2 linked regions of the Arabidopsis thaliana genome follow. The protein of the gene in region 1 purifies or fractionates together with the protein of each later gene. This does not show direct contact. Each region holds a gene or a part of one and is shown on either strand. Other genes may lie near its edges. The genes, in order: SGT1A and GME.

What was found.
Region 2: the proteins of SGT1A (region 1) and GME fractionate together in Arabidopsis thaliana (co-fractionation; one large-scale study listed by BioGRID). This does not show direct contact.

The regions. Positions count from the first base shown.
Region 1 is NC_003075.7:12,296,106-12,304,610, reverse strand, and holds SGT1A (phosphatase-like protein), read right to left. Parts: upstream 4,734-8,505; 5' UTR 4,597-4,733; coding exon 4,437-4,596; intron 3,862-4,436; coding exon 3,789-3,861; intron 3,602-3,788; coding exon 3,477-3,601; intron 3,329-3,476; coding exon 3,226-3,328; intron 3,152-3,225; coding exon 3,055-3,151; intron 2,973-3,054; coding exon 2,907-2,972; intron 2,814-2,906; coding exon 2,675-2,813; intron 2,582-2,674; coding exon 2,502-2,581; intron 2,418-2,501; coding exon 2,313-2,417; intron 2,226-2,312; coding exon 2,118-2,225; 3' UTR 1,892-2,117; downstream 1-1,891. Other genes in the region: AT4G23580 (Galactose oxidase/kelch repeat superfamily protein), read left to right, coding at 1-365. UniProt on the Arabidopsis thaliana protein: Functions in R gene-mediated resistance, but participates in a lower extent than SGT1B to RPP5-mediated resistance. Not required for RPM1, RPS2, RPS4 and RPS5-mediated resistance.
Region 2 is NC_003076.8:10,859,609-10,867,921, forward strand, and holds GME (GDP-D-mannose 3',5'-epimerase), read right to left. Parts: upstream 5,339-8,313; 5' UTR 5,118-5,338; intron 4,437-5,117; exon of another isoform or gene 4,418-4,436; 5' UTR 4,417-4,417; coding exon 4,007-4,416; intron 3,921-4,006; coding exon 3,824-3,920; intron 3,747-3,823; coding exon 3,617-3,746; intron 3,531-3,616; coding exon 3,398-3,530; intron 3,320-3,397; coding exon 3,112-3,319; intron 3,020-3,111; coding exon 2,864-3,019; 3' UTR 2,408-2,863; downstream 1-2,407. UniProt on the Arabidopsis thaliana protein: Catalyzes a reversible epimerization of GDP-D-mannose that precedes the committed step in the biosynthesis of vitamin C (L-ascorbate), resulting in the hydrolysis of the highly energetic glycosyl-pyrophosphoryl linkage.

The sequences.
Region 1 (8,505 bases):
CGTCATCATCATCTTATTGTGTGGTAGAGAACGTGTTCTACCGTTACTGTGAGGGGGAGATACGTTGGTATGACCTCAAGAATAGAGCATGGACAATTTTGAAGGGCTTGGGAAGATTGCCTAGTTTGCCTACTTCTCATTCAAATGTTAAATTGGCGGATCATGGTGGAAAAATGGCGATTTCTTGGGAGGAGTATATGTTTGTTGATAGGGAAAAAAAGATTTGGTGTGCGGAAATTGCGATTGAAAAACACCAAAATGGGGAAATTTGGGGAACGCTTGAGTGGTTTGACAATGTGTTTATATCCAAAACGCCAAACGGTTATGTGGGTTTAGTGCATGCTCTTACTGCTACGGTTTGGTGAATTTTGTCAACCACCCATGCAATATTTATCATTTTCTTTTTGATAGTCTTGTCGAACTGTTTGTCTTAGATTTTTTTTTCTTCTTTTTTTGCAATTTTATTTGGCAACATGTAACTATCAAGTTCTTGTTGCAAAGCTGGCTCACTTTGATAAATCATTCATCATTCAACTAAAAATGTTAACTGCCTCAATTTTTTCCACTATTTACATGTTTTACCGATGTAAAGACTTTGAAAAAGTCTTGATATGGATATGTATCATCATAGTATGTCTTCCAATATTTAGTGTTAAGTTTTTCATTTAAGTGTGGGTGTAACATTCTAATGAAATCTTCACCCAAATCTTTCAAGAAGCCAAATTGGCTTTGTTTTTTTGGCTTTCATTATTAACTTTGTTACATTAGAGATCAAACAAGGAAAAATACACATGAGAGATAACAAATGGCGTTTACTTCAAAAAAACCTCGCTACTTAATCTCACTATACAATCTGAATTTGCAAAAACAGTTACCACAACTTCCTCTGTCTTTTTGGTAGTACTCGTGTCTGTTTAACACTCAAGAATATGAGATATATATTTAATGATTCTTAAAAACTTAGCATTGTTTTCTACAATACATGTACTTGGCTTTAGCTGGTGCTGCAGTCGCAGGGGTGACATCAACAGATACTGGTGGTGCTGTCGAACTTGAAGGCAAAGCCGAAGGCACCGATTGAACCAAATCTTTCTCTTATCAAGGTGATCAAAGAAGATACGTTGGTCAACCTAAGATAGTTCATTTATTATAAGATTTTTGACGGATGAAATTGGATCAGAGCCTTTTAGGGTTTTTTTTGGCTAGTTGAGAAAACTTTAGATTTTGTTAGTTAAAACAGGTGTGGGTAGTTCATATATATAGATCATAGGCGGCCTTAAAAACAAATAGATTTCTTCTCCTATTACGTGCGGCTGATTGGATTATTGAACATTAAGGATTATTGACTCGATGCTCTGATCACCTGCATAATCAAAAGAATATTCCATGTCAATATATATTAAAAAATCACAATTTTATCGGAAAATAAAGGTTGTGAGATGTAAAAATTTTACACAAATAACGTGGGTTTTTTATTTCTTTGGAATATATGGAAGTTTAAGTTCGAAGGCTCTATATGTTCGAGAAGCAGGATCTACAACAAGTTAAATTCATTTCTTTTAAAGAAAACATATCTCTAAAGATGTCGAATCCAACATCTCTACCTAGAAAATATACCATTGGACAACACCAAGTCGGTAACGTAGTTCCTTTCATAATTACAAATATTGTATAACTCTTTAATAAAAAATCACTTTCTCCATACTTAAGTTTAAAACGACTCTAAAGTGACAATTTACAACTCGATCGAGACGACTCTAAAGTGACAATTTACAACTCGATCGAGAGGTTAACTCAATTCTTTGACTTTTAACTCCATACTTGGGATATATTTGGTTTTGTAGACTAATTAAGTAAGTTTTAACAAAAACTAAAGAATAGTGATCATGATGAAATTATGAATACTCAAATAAAAACAAAAACAAAAAAGTTGAGACCTAAAGACAATATAACTCACAAGTCACAACATAGCAGAGGTAGAAAGCCATATTTAACAAAAAAGCAAAAACCTTAGGATCCTCATTACAGGAAGAAAGGGACCAGGTTTCAAGATTTGTCTACATTTAGGCAAAATTCACAACTGCATAAAAAGGAAAGGATCATCATATCATATCAGATCAGATCTCCCATTTCTTGAGCTCCATGCCATCCGGAGGAGTACTCTCGATTGTCTTAGTCCCAACCTCTTGCCAGTTTGTTGACAGCACTGTCCCATTCGATTCCACCTGCTCATTGTTCAAAACCCGAAAACCATAAATGAGTCGATCAAAAGGACAAAACTTTTACAGTACTCCATGAAAAGAGATACTCACAAATGATTTGCTCATCGCTCGCCTCATATCCTCATCCGCATTCTGGTATATCTCCCGGAAGAATTTGTTCAAAGCTGCGTCTCCTTCCAGCTTCTCATCTTTTTCCTGCAAGTCAACCACAATCAAACAAAAGAAGAGAAAAAACAAAACCGTTTGGTCGAGGTTTTAAGTACATGGTAAGAGACGGACCTGCTTCTTCACTTCAGCTTCCAGCTTGTCCCAGTCCTTAACTTTCTTAGAAGATGGATAAGCTGGCCTCTGTGAAACCTCTGCATCATCATACATACAACATAAGATTTACATTACAAGAGACTGTTGTTTAAGCTCATCAGATGACACTGAAGAAGGAAAAGGTAGAAAACCTGATGAGACATTAGGCTTTGGCAAAACCGCTGGCCCTTTGCCGTGTTCGAGGGAGGCCCATGTGATTATATCGGCTTTTGCAAGACAGATCTCAATTTTGGTCGACAATACTTCATATTTGCACTTATCTGGTATTATCTGAATATACACCGTAAAACAAAGTCATGTAACATGTTCAGCTCAGAGTGTTGAAAGAAAAACCAACATTAATTCATTCAACAGATAAATTACCTTTCCAAACAATCTCGGTTGGAGATAATACGCATCCTCTCCAGGAACCTCAATCACAACACTCAGCTTCAAAACACAAAACAATACCATTAACACACAAGCACACAGAAGTGCCATTGAGTTGGGTTCTTAAGAGCCTTATACTCACAATTTGTTCACCAAAGTCGATGTTAACATTCTGCTTGGGTATTCCTTTTGCAAAAACAGTTACCACAACTTCCTCTGGCTTTTGGTAGTACTCGTGCCTGTTAACACTCAAGAATATCAGATATTTAATGATTCTTAAAAACTTTGGTATTGTTTTCTACAATAAAACTACCTGTACTTGGCTGTAGGGGTGACATCAAGTTCAGATACTGGTGGTGCTGTCACACTTGAAGGCAAAGTCGAAGGCACCGGTTGAACCAAATCTTTCTCTTCTTCTGGAAAAAGGATATTTACAAGTTCCATAGATCAAAACCTTAGGTGAATTACATAACAAAATATTTTGCACCATGGCAAACAATACAATCACTCTAGGCATGTAAACATAATCAACCAGAAAACAAGAAAAAAACACAAAAAACATACCTGTGATTAGAAAATTGCATTCATCTATCAACTTCTTAAATTTGGATTCACTCGGCGTGATAGAGGCACCCTTTTCAAGAGCTGTTTTAGCAGTCCGATACTCTTCAAGCTTCATACAGGCAGTTCTACAAATACAAAAACCAAACCATGAACAATGGAAGTAATAGCTTGACAGATATATACCACATTTGCAGACCATATAAACTGGTAGTAAAACAATCTAAGGACTAAGGAATCAGAGAAAATTAAACTCTCACTACAACTTATATACGACTTAAAAATGTTACATAGGAGGAAATAGCAAAACGTTACCCTTTTCTTAGGTAAGCTTTGGTCAATGAAGGATCCAACTCAATTGCTTTGTTCGCATCTGCCACGGCCTCTGCTCATTGAGAATCAAATGAGACCAAAATCTTATCCAACTAGTAAAGTTCTATGATACTACGCTAAAAATGCAGAGAATACTTTCTTAAAGCAAGAAATAGTTGAACTAAAGACTAATCACTCAAGCAAAAATTGAAACTTTCAATACTCCGTTAATACTTAACACTATCTGTAAACAAAATTCTCCATATTCACAATCAAAGAATCAAAAGACTAGCACAGCTAAAACCAACTTAAACCAATGTTTGAATGCATAACTTGTAAAGGGCACTCGCTACTGATAACAAATAACTAAATTTCGTTTCTCATGAAAGCAATTCCGATACATTGTTCCTCCACAAACAGCAAAAGAGAGACACATTAGTATCAAATTGATACGAAAGCTTTAAACTTTCGAAAAGAATTGTGACACTATCAAGCGACAGGACACAAAACGAAACCCTAAATACACATAATCCAGCAAAGTCAACAACTTTCAGCTATGATGAAGTAAGAAACCGAAAACATACAAAAACCCAGAACCCCAGAAGGCGTCCACGACAGTAAAAGACGAAGATAACAGAACAAAGAAGCTACCAGTGAAGCTTTCGAGTTTGATATAGGCCTGAGCACGATCAGCGAAGAACTCAGCGCAATTAGGATCCAAGTCAATGGCTTTGGAGTACAAGTCAACAGCAACATCGAAGTCATCGTCTACGAAAGCCTCTTTAGCCTTATCAGCAAGCTCCTTCGCCATCGATTGACTAAGAAAAAAAAACAGAGGAGAGCTAACAAAGACGATGAAATCAAAACAAGGAGGGAATGAAGTAGAGGGCAAGGTTTGTTACTTATTGCCACAATGGAAGGAAGGAATATAAAGAGAGATTGGATGTTATCGTTCTTCTTCTAGATTGTTCCTTCGTTTTATGCGACTTGTGTTCAGGGAGTTGAAGAGTTCGAACCCAAAATAAAATTTATAAAAACAATAATTTAAATATTTTTCTATTTTTTCCACAAAGTTTCTCCTTATTTTTCTAAAATAATATATTTCATTTTCTATAAATTTAATTTTGTGTGTACATCAAATATGTGAGATTTGATATTATTAAGAAAAATAGGTGAGGTCTCTAGTGTATATATTTTCGTTTAAAAAAAAAAATATATATTTTGTACATGTTGGAATTTTGTTACTTCACTTCAAAAACATTTCATGTACTTTGTCAAGTTTTCTAGAGTTAAAATAGTGTCTGACTTAGATGATGAATAACTGGTTTAATTTATTATGGATCACAAATTACATAGTGGATTTGACAATTTTATGATTAACCAAAGTGGGACTATTGCCTTAGAAAATATTGTTTTCCTAGCAGTTTCGTGGAACCTTATTGGAAGATTCAAATATGTGTGGATAGGGATGGAGAAGTCAATTTATTAGTGTCAAGTGGATGTGGTGAAGTCAATTTAAATAGTATCATATCAACTTTGCTTATGAGTTGAGTTGACCCACAATAACGTTAAATATCAACCTGCATCTGTAAAATTCTTTTTTTTTTTTAATGTTTAGTTCAATATAATTAACCTTGTTCCTCGTATATAAAAAGAAATCTGTGACAAATAGCCGACAAAAAAAAAATCTGTTGGGTTTGATTTGGACCGGAATATAGACATTGCGGCCTATCAAGAAATAAAACTTGGGCTAATCAAACAACGAAAGCCTGCCTATAGTAGATACGAGATAATGTTGATGCTCCCTCATCGGAAGTTTGAGGATGGGCACTCGTGTGTAGCATAGTATAAATAAAGAAGATGGTCGAGGATTGCAAATTACTTACCTGGACGGGGTTTACGGGTGATCATGAAGATCCGTGGCCTAGGCTGGTGGCTTCCTGCACTTGAGGTGCGCTAAGCCAAAGGTCACCCCAAGTGGGAGATCCTGCGTCATTATTTGTTGCCTTGGGGGCCTGCGTTCGCGCGGCCCCTTCCATTTCCAATAGTTCAATCTTTTGATCGTCGTTTTGACTGAGTTAATTAGAGCTAGATCTTAGTCAATGGCTCATGTTACATTTATTTTCACAGATCCAGAAGAAAAAAAAATTCTGTCTAAGTACCAGCTAGGCTGGTTATTGGATAGTGTTAGCGATCCAAGACACTGATGGAGGCAAATCATTGTAATGGGCTCATAGTTGCTGTTAATGGATCTGGTGCTTCTCAAATATTTCATTTGGTTGCAGTCTAACACAAGTTTGCGTTAGAGTGTTAGTGGCAAAAGCTGAAAGTTTCAAGCCCTTATGGTGCAAGATTGATTTATGCCACAGATCAAATGTTGTGGAAGCGGTGCGCATTGCATCCTTTGTGGATCAAACCATTCTCTTTGTTCGAAGAAGTGTAAAGAATGTGTCAAGAATTTTGGCAGCAGAGACGTGACTAGTAACTTTGTAGCTAAGTTCATTTCTTTTAGGAACATTAAAGTTGGCCCAAGATTTATTTACTTGTAGGATTTTGTTGGCGTTTTGCCATATCAGCTTTATCTTTACCTTTTTATGGATGTTTCCATCTTAAAAAGTACAAGATCCAAGTTTCTCTCTATGTAGAAAGATGAGCTTGAAATTGATTTCTTATCCAAAAGGTGAACCATATATAGACACATACACTAGACTCTTTGCTCAAGGTCCGTGGCTAAGGGGGATTTTAAATTTACCATTTTTGCTAGTATTTAAACCATGAGTCTCAGTCTCACCATTATTTTAACAATTTGATCAGCAAACATATAGAAGAACAATTTCAGAGCTCCAAGGCTACATGAATTTGCATCAAGACTCCAAATAATTGGTTCCAGTTTCAGAGCTCTGCTCTAGATGAAAACAATGATCTCTAATTAACTCCTTTCATTTTGGGTTTCATAATGACAATAAATATGACAATGCTTTAAACAAAAAAAACATGTAAAGTAATAAATGAAAATGAGCTTGGCAGAGTAATTAACGCATTATTATTAGGGAGTTGTAACGTACACGAATTTGCGTTAGGCGAAAAGAGAATAGTGGACATAAAACTTTGTCACATGCTTTGCCATCACGCCCATCACCTTATAACCATCGACTCTGACCAAAATTATTATTTTAAATTTTGTATTTATAAACAAAAACTTTGATGTTGAAGACGTCTATATTGATCTCATTTGGCAGAAATTGTGAAGGTAAAGAAACAAAGTAGAAATAAATTGTGAGAATGAGGAGCATAATAGTATCACTACAGCTAAACCAGGATTAAAACTAGAAATGATTTCAATTTTTAGAAACGATATGATAGAGTGGCAAATTAACTCTTGAAAAAATACTCCATATGTTTCACAAACAATGTCGTTTTGACACTTTACTAAACTTATACGGTACCAAAACCGTGAAAATAACGTCAATCATCATCAATCATTTAGAGAGAAATTAAATAAACTATTGTGTATATAATTGAATTAAATTAAATGAACTAATACATGTATCCAATATGATCATGAACTGTACTGTCCCTAGTTGAGTTCCGTTTTATTTCATCATTAAAAACCCAATAACGAAAGAGGAATTAAAAACATATATACGGTGAACACGCATGCAAGAAATTTGTGCAATAGGTTTACACTTAGCAGGAAAAGAGGAACAAAAAACAATTAGTTATAATAACTGATAACTGAAATAAGTTTATGACAACTGAAAACAAAATAAAATAAAAACTAACGGCAAAATCTAACATTGACGACGTTGTAAGGAATGGGTGCTGAAATGTTTTTATACAGACATTTCAACCGCACGGCATCTCCATATTACTACGTACTAGTCCAGTCAATCAGTATTCTCACACGTGAAAAACGACACTTTGCGTTTTCACATCTAGATAAGATTGCCTTTTCTTTAGATCAAATTTTCATTTTACCATTAATCAAGCTATAAAAGTGAACATATTTACAATATTTACGATGATATGTTATATATTTAGTTCGTTACATCATCTAATAAGTTTGCAATTTCATTTTCCAAACGGGTAACTAGTAAATGTTCAATTCAATTTCTGTCAAATTATACATGCGAATTAGGAAATGAAGTTTGTTTATCTTTTCTGCATGTGAAAGTATTATTTGTTTATCTTAGTGAACTTGGATTGTGGGATACATTCATTATCCATCCAAAATATGGGATTTTTTCTGCTTGACTATTTATTATTAGTTTGCTTGTATATCCTAAAGTATAGGCATGGAATCGGCGTATTTGATTTTGATTCCTTTTAAACCAATACCTTTTACGATCTTTTCTTATTCATTTCCTTGTTTCTTAAGTCAAGTTTCAGATACATACCTAAACACAATTGTGGATCGTTATGGAGTATTTTTACAAATTTACGACAATATATATGCGTAAGACCAGAGGACCTATAGGTATGGGTTTCTTAGGAAACCGATATAAATTGATATAGATTATAGAACTACATACAAACATAGGTTTTACACATTGTTTATTAGTTTTAAGAAAAAACAATAAAATCATTTAAAAGAAGTAGTGATTTGATATTTTTTTTGTTTTGCTGTAAATGAACCAGAAAGGTCTTATTTAAGGAAATATATTAAAACTTCTACATTAAATAACAGTTTATAAACCTTCACAGATAGAATCATAGAAAA
Region 2 (8,313 bases), on another chromosome or scaffold:
TAAGTACAATTATATACATATATATATATATATATATATATATATAACGGTTGACAAAATTATATATAATGTTGATATGTATATAGCACCACATACTTGTACATGTTGGAACTAAAATGCACTTTGCAAATTGTTGGGGTCCAAAATATCCTTTTTACATGGTTGGCAAGGATGAGATATTATGGAATTTCAAGATATTCGTATATAACCAAGTTCTATAAAAATTAGGTTAAACTAATTAAAATAATATATCTTCACTAGGTAATAATTTAGTTAATATTATATATTTTATTATTAAAAGTTTGGTTTTAAATTTTAGTAACTCATACGATCGTGATACTTGTAAAGTATATCGATTGGATTTTGACACGTGTTAAAAAAACTAAAACAACATACGGTAAGTTATAATTCTATAAGGAAATGGATAAAATAAAATAATATTGTAAATATTTTTTTCCTAAAATGAAAAAAATTTCTTTGAAAATATTATGTTGATATTCAAGTTAAAAAATATTGTTTTGTTATTAGATACAGGTGAAATGTATGGATAGAACCAAAAATATTGTGAAGTCGAATCAACATGATTTGTTTGCTTTAGCAAATGAAAGTACATGCTAACTGGTTGTGGATTCATAGGTGTATAGTTTCAGAGTTGTTCATTTTTTTAGGTAACTAAAACACTGGAAAACGATGTAATCAGCAACTATTGAGTAGACATGAATATGACCCAATGCCTCCTCTAGGGTACAAAAACTTAAAACATCCCTTACACCTACATCAACTCGAGGAAGACCAAAGATTGATGGAAATTGTTCTTGGCACAAAAATGAGACATATTTATTTGAATGCTTTCTATGGATCTCATAATTTTGGATGAATCGTAATGCGGCGATAGTGTTGGAGGCAAAGCAGACATGTGGATGCTCTGCTTTACCTATAAATATCCCAAATGGAAAAAGGACAATAGAGATCCTCCAACCCACCAAGAAATCTCATCCAACTTGCAATGTCAGTAGCAACAAAGCCCCAAAACATAAGATGTTTAAATTGATCCCTAATCTGGCCTATTTGATAGCGCCACAAAGCGTTTCTCATTAATTCTGCCAATTGCTGTAGAAAAAATCATGTGTTTTAGTTAGTTCAAAATTTTAGGTAAAACATATTGAATTAAATCTTCTTCTTTCAACAAATTAATGTTTTCAGGATATTAGAAGAGAAATTAGGCTGTGAAAGAATAAAAGACAAATGACTTAGAGATATTATTTCCTTTCATTTTTGGTGGGTTGTTGAATTCATTTTTTTTTGTTTTAAAGAATATTGAGAGATTAATTTAATATATGTTTTCCATTGTTTGTGCGGCTTGCCAAAATGAGAAAGTTAGGTCCGTTGGTGTGATTCAACATAAACTGATTAGGTAGTGGATGCACAATAAGTGCTCGGGCAAGTGTGGGCTAACCTATGAGGAAAGAAATATGGTTATCGTCAATGTCGCAAAATCTTGTCCAAAAGAGAGATGTCTGAGAGTGTTGTGGAAGGATGTAGATTTAGAGAATATATTCTTCTTATTGATCATAAACATGTGTACAAAGTATATATAGAGAGGAGATTGTCGAGATAAACCTAACCGACTATACATGTTAATATACAAACTCACAAAGCCCATATAATCTAACTTAGCCCAATAAAGGAGAGTAAAGTGAGGTGTTGGTGGAAACTAATTCATCTCTAAAAATCTGGAGAAATCGGACAAAGATGATGAACTTGATGATCAATATAGTTTAGGCTTTTAGGGAAGTGTGAAGATGAACTTGATGATCAAATTTTAGTTAACCCAAGTTAAATTTGGGTTGAGTTAAATGCTTCATTTGCTTTTGCATATGATATAAAAGGTGATTTGGGCTCATTTGAGAAGCGACACGAAGAAGAGTGAGAGCAAGAGCAAAACCACAACAAAAAATTGGGTGATTGTTGAGTTGATGATTTGAAATATATCGATTGTCTTATTTTAGATGCATAAATGAATATTTGTAGTATGATGCTAACGTCAAAGATTTTTGAAAAAACACTGATAACATATATATTCAAAGAAGCTAACAATTGAGCCGAAAGTTGCTTAATTGTTTTGAGATTTTACTATGCTTTTCCTTTTGATTTAGTGGTTTTTTTCTTAGTTTTGGATTAAGTTTAAGCTTTATTTCCTTTGATATTATTTAAAATAATAAAAAAACATTATATGTTATGTTATAATAATATCGTCCTTATCTCATATTTGTTTTTTGATAAAATGTATATTCAAAATTTAAAATAGTAAATACGTTATTTTTCGGATCATCTCGAGTCTAAGACCAAATCTTAGAACATGGATAAAAATCTCAAATTTTAGATATTTTGCTGATCGGGAGAGTTGCATAAAAAAAGCAATATATAAACTTAAAACCTTATGATTTATTACGTGTGACATTTTTGACCGAGGAATGGGATAAAGAAGTGGATGGAAGAGAAAGAATGGTGAGTCACCGTGAGTGATCCCTAACCTCTAGAGATGTGTGAATAGATGATAAGATGCAAGAAAAAACACAAGCCACTTACTTGTACTGGTCCGTGAGAGGACCACGACATCAACTTGACTATGATGATAAACATACATACTGTGAATGAAAGGACCACAATAATATGATAACAGACTTAACAATGCAAGCAAACTTTTTCAACTAAACATAAACAAGGATTAGCAGAATAGAAGGAACCAAAATCCAAAACACTTATTATTGCTTTTTTAATAGGAAGCTACCTAAAAATATATCTAAACATTTTGCTGAACTTAAAAGGCCATATTTGAGCTTGACTTATACTTTGGTGAACTTCACTCTTTTCCATCAGCCGCGCGGAGTGAGCCTAGCTGAACCGGTGCTTGAGTTCCAACCACCTTTGATGACCCGTAAAGCGACACATCGCTTCCCTTTGCTTTCTCTTTCTCGATCTGTTCCTTTATCCAGAAGTAGGTTATTCTAAGCCCCTCCTGTTTAACGATTATGGTCAAAACAATATCAGTAATAAAAGAATTAGATTATTATCTTGTCTTTGAGCTACTTAAGTAAATAATGTTGGTACCTTCAATCTCATATTAGGAGCCCAACCAAGCTTTTCTTTGATCAGATTGTTGTCTGAGTTACGACCACGAACACCTTCCGGGCCAGGAATGTGGTGAATTGGAAGCTTCTTTTCCTCAAAGCTGAGAACCATCTCAGCCATCTCATTCATGCTCACCATCTCATCGCTTCCGATGTTCACCGGCTCACGGAAATCTGATTTTGTCAACCTATAAAACAAAAATGACGAAAATATCAGCCAATTACGTCTAACATACAACTTCATCAACATCAGGAGATACCCTCACCTGAGTACACCTTCAACACACTCATCGATAAAGGTAAAAGAACGGGTCTGAAGCCCATCTCCCCACATCTCAAACCTATCAGTGGAAGTCTGAGCCTTCCTACAGAAAGCAGCTGGAGCCTTCTCCCTTCCACCTAAGTTGATCCAAGCAAATATTAATCCCAATAGTAAACAACTAATCATTCACACAAAGTACGGAAACTGTTTATCTGTATACTACCTTTCCATGTTCCAAAAGGACCATAAATGTTATGGAACCTTCCAATTCGACACTCAATACCAAAATCTTTGTTGTAATGCTTACACAACTCCTCCGTAGCAAGCTTCTCCAAACCATAAGCATCTTGAGGCTATATCAGCATCAAAACATCACATAAGAAAAGACTCATAAATCTTTAGCAAGAACATATAAAAAATAATCACAAACCTCTGCAGGCCAAGCATCTGACTCCTTCAAGCTCACATTAGTAGTCTCCAACTGCTTAAACTCTGGATAGATACAAGCACTCGAAGCATAAAAGAACCTAAAGCAAACAAAAAATCCAATCTTTTTAACTTGTTTTAAGAAACCGTAAACTGCGAAAACCGAAGAAAACAAAATCTAACTAACCTCTTAATCCCATTGATCCTAGCAGCCTCAATCATATTGAAACTAATCATAGTATTATTATACATAATCACAGAGTGATTACTCTGGATAAAACCCATACCACCCATATCAGCAGCTAAGTTAAAAACATGATCAACTCCTTCAGTAACTTTGAGACAATTCTCCATAACCCTAAGATCAACAAGATGGAACTCATCACAGAACATGTCTTCAGTCATGTGTTCATTCTTTTTCCAGTCAGAAGCAATCACGTAATGACCTTCGTGCTTCAAACGACGAGCAATGTGAGATGCAATGAAACCTCCAGCTCCTGTTATTGATATCTTGAGATTCTCAGATGGCCAATATTGCTCTCTTTCTAGCTCCTTGTATGTGTATGCTCCATAGTCTGTTCCATTGGTAGTTCCCATTCTACATTAACAAAACAAATCTGTTAAAAACAATAAGATCTCTCATGCAAAAGCTAGACATCACTGTAGAGTCCTAATTTGTGATAAATTTCTATAAAAAAGATTTGGGATTTAGAGAGTTTTGACAGAGGTAAGATTATTGATGCATTGGATTCCGGCGTAAGTTAGCGAAAAACACAAAACTGCGAGGCGTAAGTTAGCCAAAAACACACAAAATTGCAAAACAAATCTGTTAAACACAATAAGATCTCTCATGCAAAAGCTAGAAATCACTGTAGAATCCTAATTTGTGATTAATTTCTGTAAAAAGATTTGGGATTTAGAGAGTTTTGACAGAGAATGCATTGGATTCGGTGTAAGTTAGTGAAAACACACAAAATTGCGACGCTTAAGTTAGCCAAAAACACACAAAATTGCAAAGAAATATGTTAAACACAATAAGATCTCTCATGCGAAAGCTAGAAATCACTGTGGAATCCTAATTTGTGATAAATTTCTGTAAAAAGATTTGGGATTTAGAGAGTTTTGACAGAGGATGCATTGGATTCGGCGTAAGTTAGCGAAAAACACAAAATTGCGAGGCGTAAATTAGCCAAAAACACAGAATTGCGAAATTCGGATCTCAGAGAAGTTTTGATTCAGGAATCTGGGATTTTAAAACCCTAGATTAGTGGAATTGTAAGGAAGATTGGATCTTTTACCTGAGGAAGGTTTTGGAGAGTTGGAGAGATCGAAGAGATAATGCAGAGAAGAGTCAGAGATTTGAGGAAGAGGAAGAGTAAACTTGTATTTATAGAGAGAGAACAGAAGAAGATGAAGAGGAAGATGGAGAGAGCAACACCACTCGTTGTTTTAGTTTTCCAACTCCTATTGGTATTTGTGCCTCTTTCTGTTAAATTTATTTTATAACTAATAAAATCCTTCGAAAAAAAAAATTAATACTTCTTTTGTAGAGAGTTTTTTAGAAAATAGGAGATTTTATAGAAGATTTATTACTTTTTATTAGGTTTGATGATTTATATTATGCATATTATTTTTACTATTTGTTGAATCGTATTTAGATAGATAATAAGAAATGTTTTAGTTTAGAAAAAAAAAAAAACTAAATATTTTCTTTATTGGTGCACCAAACAATTTCATAATTTTTTTATTTTCTAGCTTCAATATATAAAAATATTTGTAAATAATAAATATATGTATATTCTATATATTAATTGAGAAGTTTTTTTAATAAAATATTTATATTGGCGTGTTATTAACGAAACCGTCATGTTGTGATTCTAATCCATTTAAATAATTGTCCAAATTTTACTAGATTATTACAGATTTTTCAATTAGTCTTATTCATACATATATATAATACACATTAAAAGGAAATTCTTATAAAATTCAAATAATTAAGCAATTAATCTTTAAATAATTATTATTTTGAGAAAAATTACTTTAATTTTTGTTATTTTCTAATTAACTAAAACACTATTTAACATATTTTGTATTTGCAAATAATAGTACATCTTCATATATTAAGAAATGTGTTGTAATAAATTTTTATTAAATATATAATTATTTTGTTATTTTAGTGATATATACTGTATTGAATAATTATAATGTACACATAAAAATATAAAATATTATTTATGTTTGTTTATGACATAAGAGCAACCATAAGTCCATTTTTGGAGTTTGAAACTGAAGAGTAAATTAGAAAAAAAAATCTTAAATTAAAATATAATATAAGTTAGATTGATGTTAAAAATTATTTATATAGTTATAGTATATATATAACCTAAACTATATTAGTTGGTTGAAATATTTGAAATAATAATGATTTTAGTAGTATTTTAAAGTTCATAACAATCAAACGGTCGAACCGAGATCAAACTGATTCGAGTTAATGGTCAGGTAGATTTTTATTAAACTTGTAAACTATCAAACCGTATATAAAACCATTAAAATGATTAAATACGTTTGCGAGAAATATAAATATTTAGAGATAGGCGTAATTCTCATTCAATTTTATCATGTTCCATTATATCTTACTCGTTCTCCAATTTATTTCTCATAAGAGAATGCATTTCTAATATGAGAAAAAATTTGTATTCCGATTAGAAACAGAACGTGATGGAAGCAAAAATTCTCTATATCCTGTTTGGGACAAACACAAATATAATTCATGTATATTTTTATATGATATGATATAATAAAAATATTACAAAATTAATTGACTTCTTTCTTCTTATTGTTTAATATTTTGTTCATAAATATTAAATTACATTTGTTTATTTTTAAATTTTAACTATTATAAAGCATACTATAATAACATTTATTATTTTGAGCATTTTTATGCTGTATAAATTGAAAACACATGTTACATATTTGATTGCAAACGTTAATTTGCTTAAATTGTAACTTGTTGTAATCTAAAAGCTATGTTTTTATCCCGTGTTGGCTCCTTCTATGTCGTTCCTTTTTCGTCATTCCTATTCTCGTTATATTACATTAAATATCATGTTCCGAGTTCATTTTTACTTATCTTTAAACACAATACCAGATACAGCTGTAACTTTTGGGGATTAACATATGCTTTGTTAAAATTTGTAAACATACCATAAATTAAAACATGAAAACAAATTGAAAAAATAAATGATCTATCAACTATAATATGTCATACTCATACATTTGTTCTTGTGTACGTGCACATATATGAAAACAAAATTATATTTACTATTTAATATAAATAAATAAACACCGACTTGATATATTATCTCAAATCCAGAAATCCTCTTGTTGATATAATATATAATTAATCAAATATATATATTTGAATTTATTTGATAAACTTTCTTAACTTCAAGAAACAAATCTTAACAATATCATAAAACTAAGAGATAGTTTAATGTGAATAAATTTAGAGAATTAGTTTGAACTAATTGCAAAAACTGTGTAAATTTAAAAATAGCTTGTAATTAGTTAAATTAGTCATCTTGATCTAAATTCAATAGTTCCTTAAATTTGCATTAAAATTACAACATTGGTATTTAAATTTATTTTAATGTTATTTCAAAAAGAAAATAATCAATTCTAGAAGAATGTGTATTCCAAAATCTTGTAACAATTTGATACAAAATAAAATAATTTATTTGATTTGAAATTGAATAATTTATCTGGCTCTAAATAAAACAATCAGATATATTAATTATTATAATTCTTTTTAAAAAATATATTAAAAATTTGGGTTAATTATATATTTAAAATAATGAAACTACCCGTTTTTAAAAACAAAAAAATATATTCTAAAACTTTATATCATTGAAACTCTAATTAAATGTTAAAATATTTTAATATACCCTGGAAATATTTTCTAGATATTTAGAATCCAAAAAATAAGTTTTTGAATAAGCTGTATTTTAAATGATAGAAGTATTTCGTTTAGATTATATACGACAAATATAATAAATGTTTTTTCATATCTGAAAAATCATAATTGAAAAATCTTTTTTGTCATGTATACAAATGAGATTTAATTAGCATAGTTTTGTTAAGGAAGATTTTAAAATCTAAACGAAATGATAATTTGTTATTAGATTGCCATATTCGAAAATATCTAATAATATCTTACGAAAATAATTTAGTTTACATATATGCATTTTTCAATTAAACATACAATATATTTGCATTTTTAAAGATATTTCTATATTTTAGTAGTTGTTAATTTACTAAATTACTCATGCAAAAATTCATTTACCTAGTTTTAAACTAGGGAGATTTGCAAAACTACTATTTTTTTACTACCCTTTTGCAACAATACCCTTTTATGTTGTCCATTTTTAAAAATACCCTTTCCTTTGAATAAAATGACCAAATTACCATCATCTAATAGAAACATGTAATTGGAAA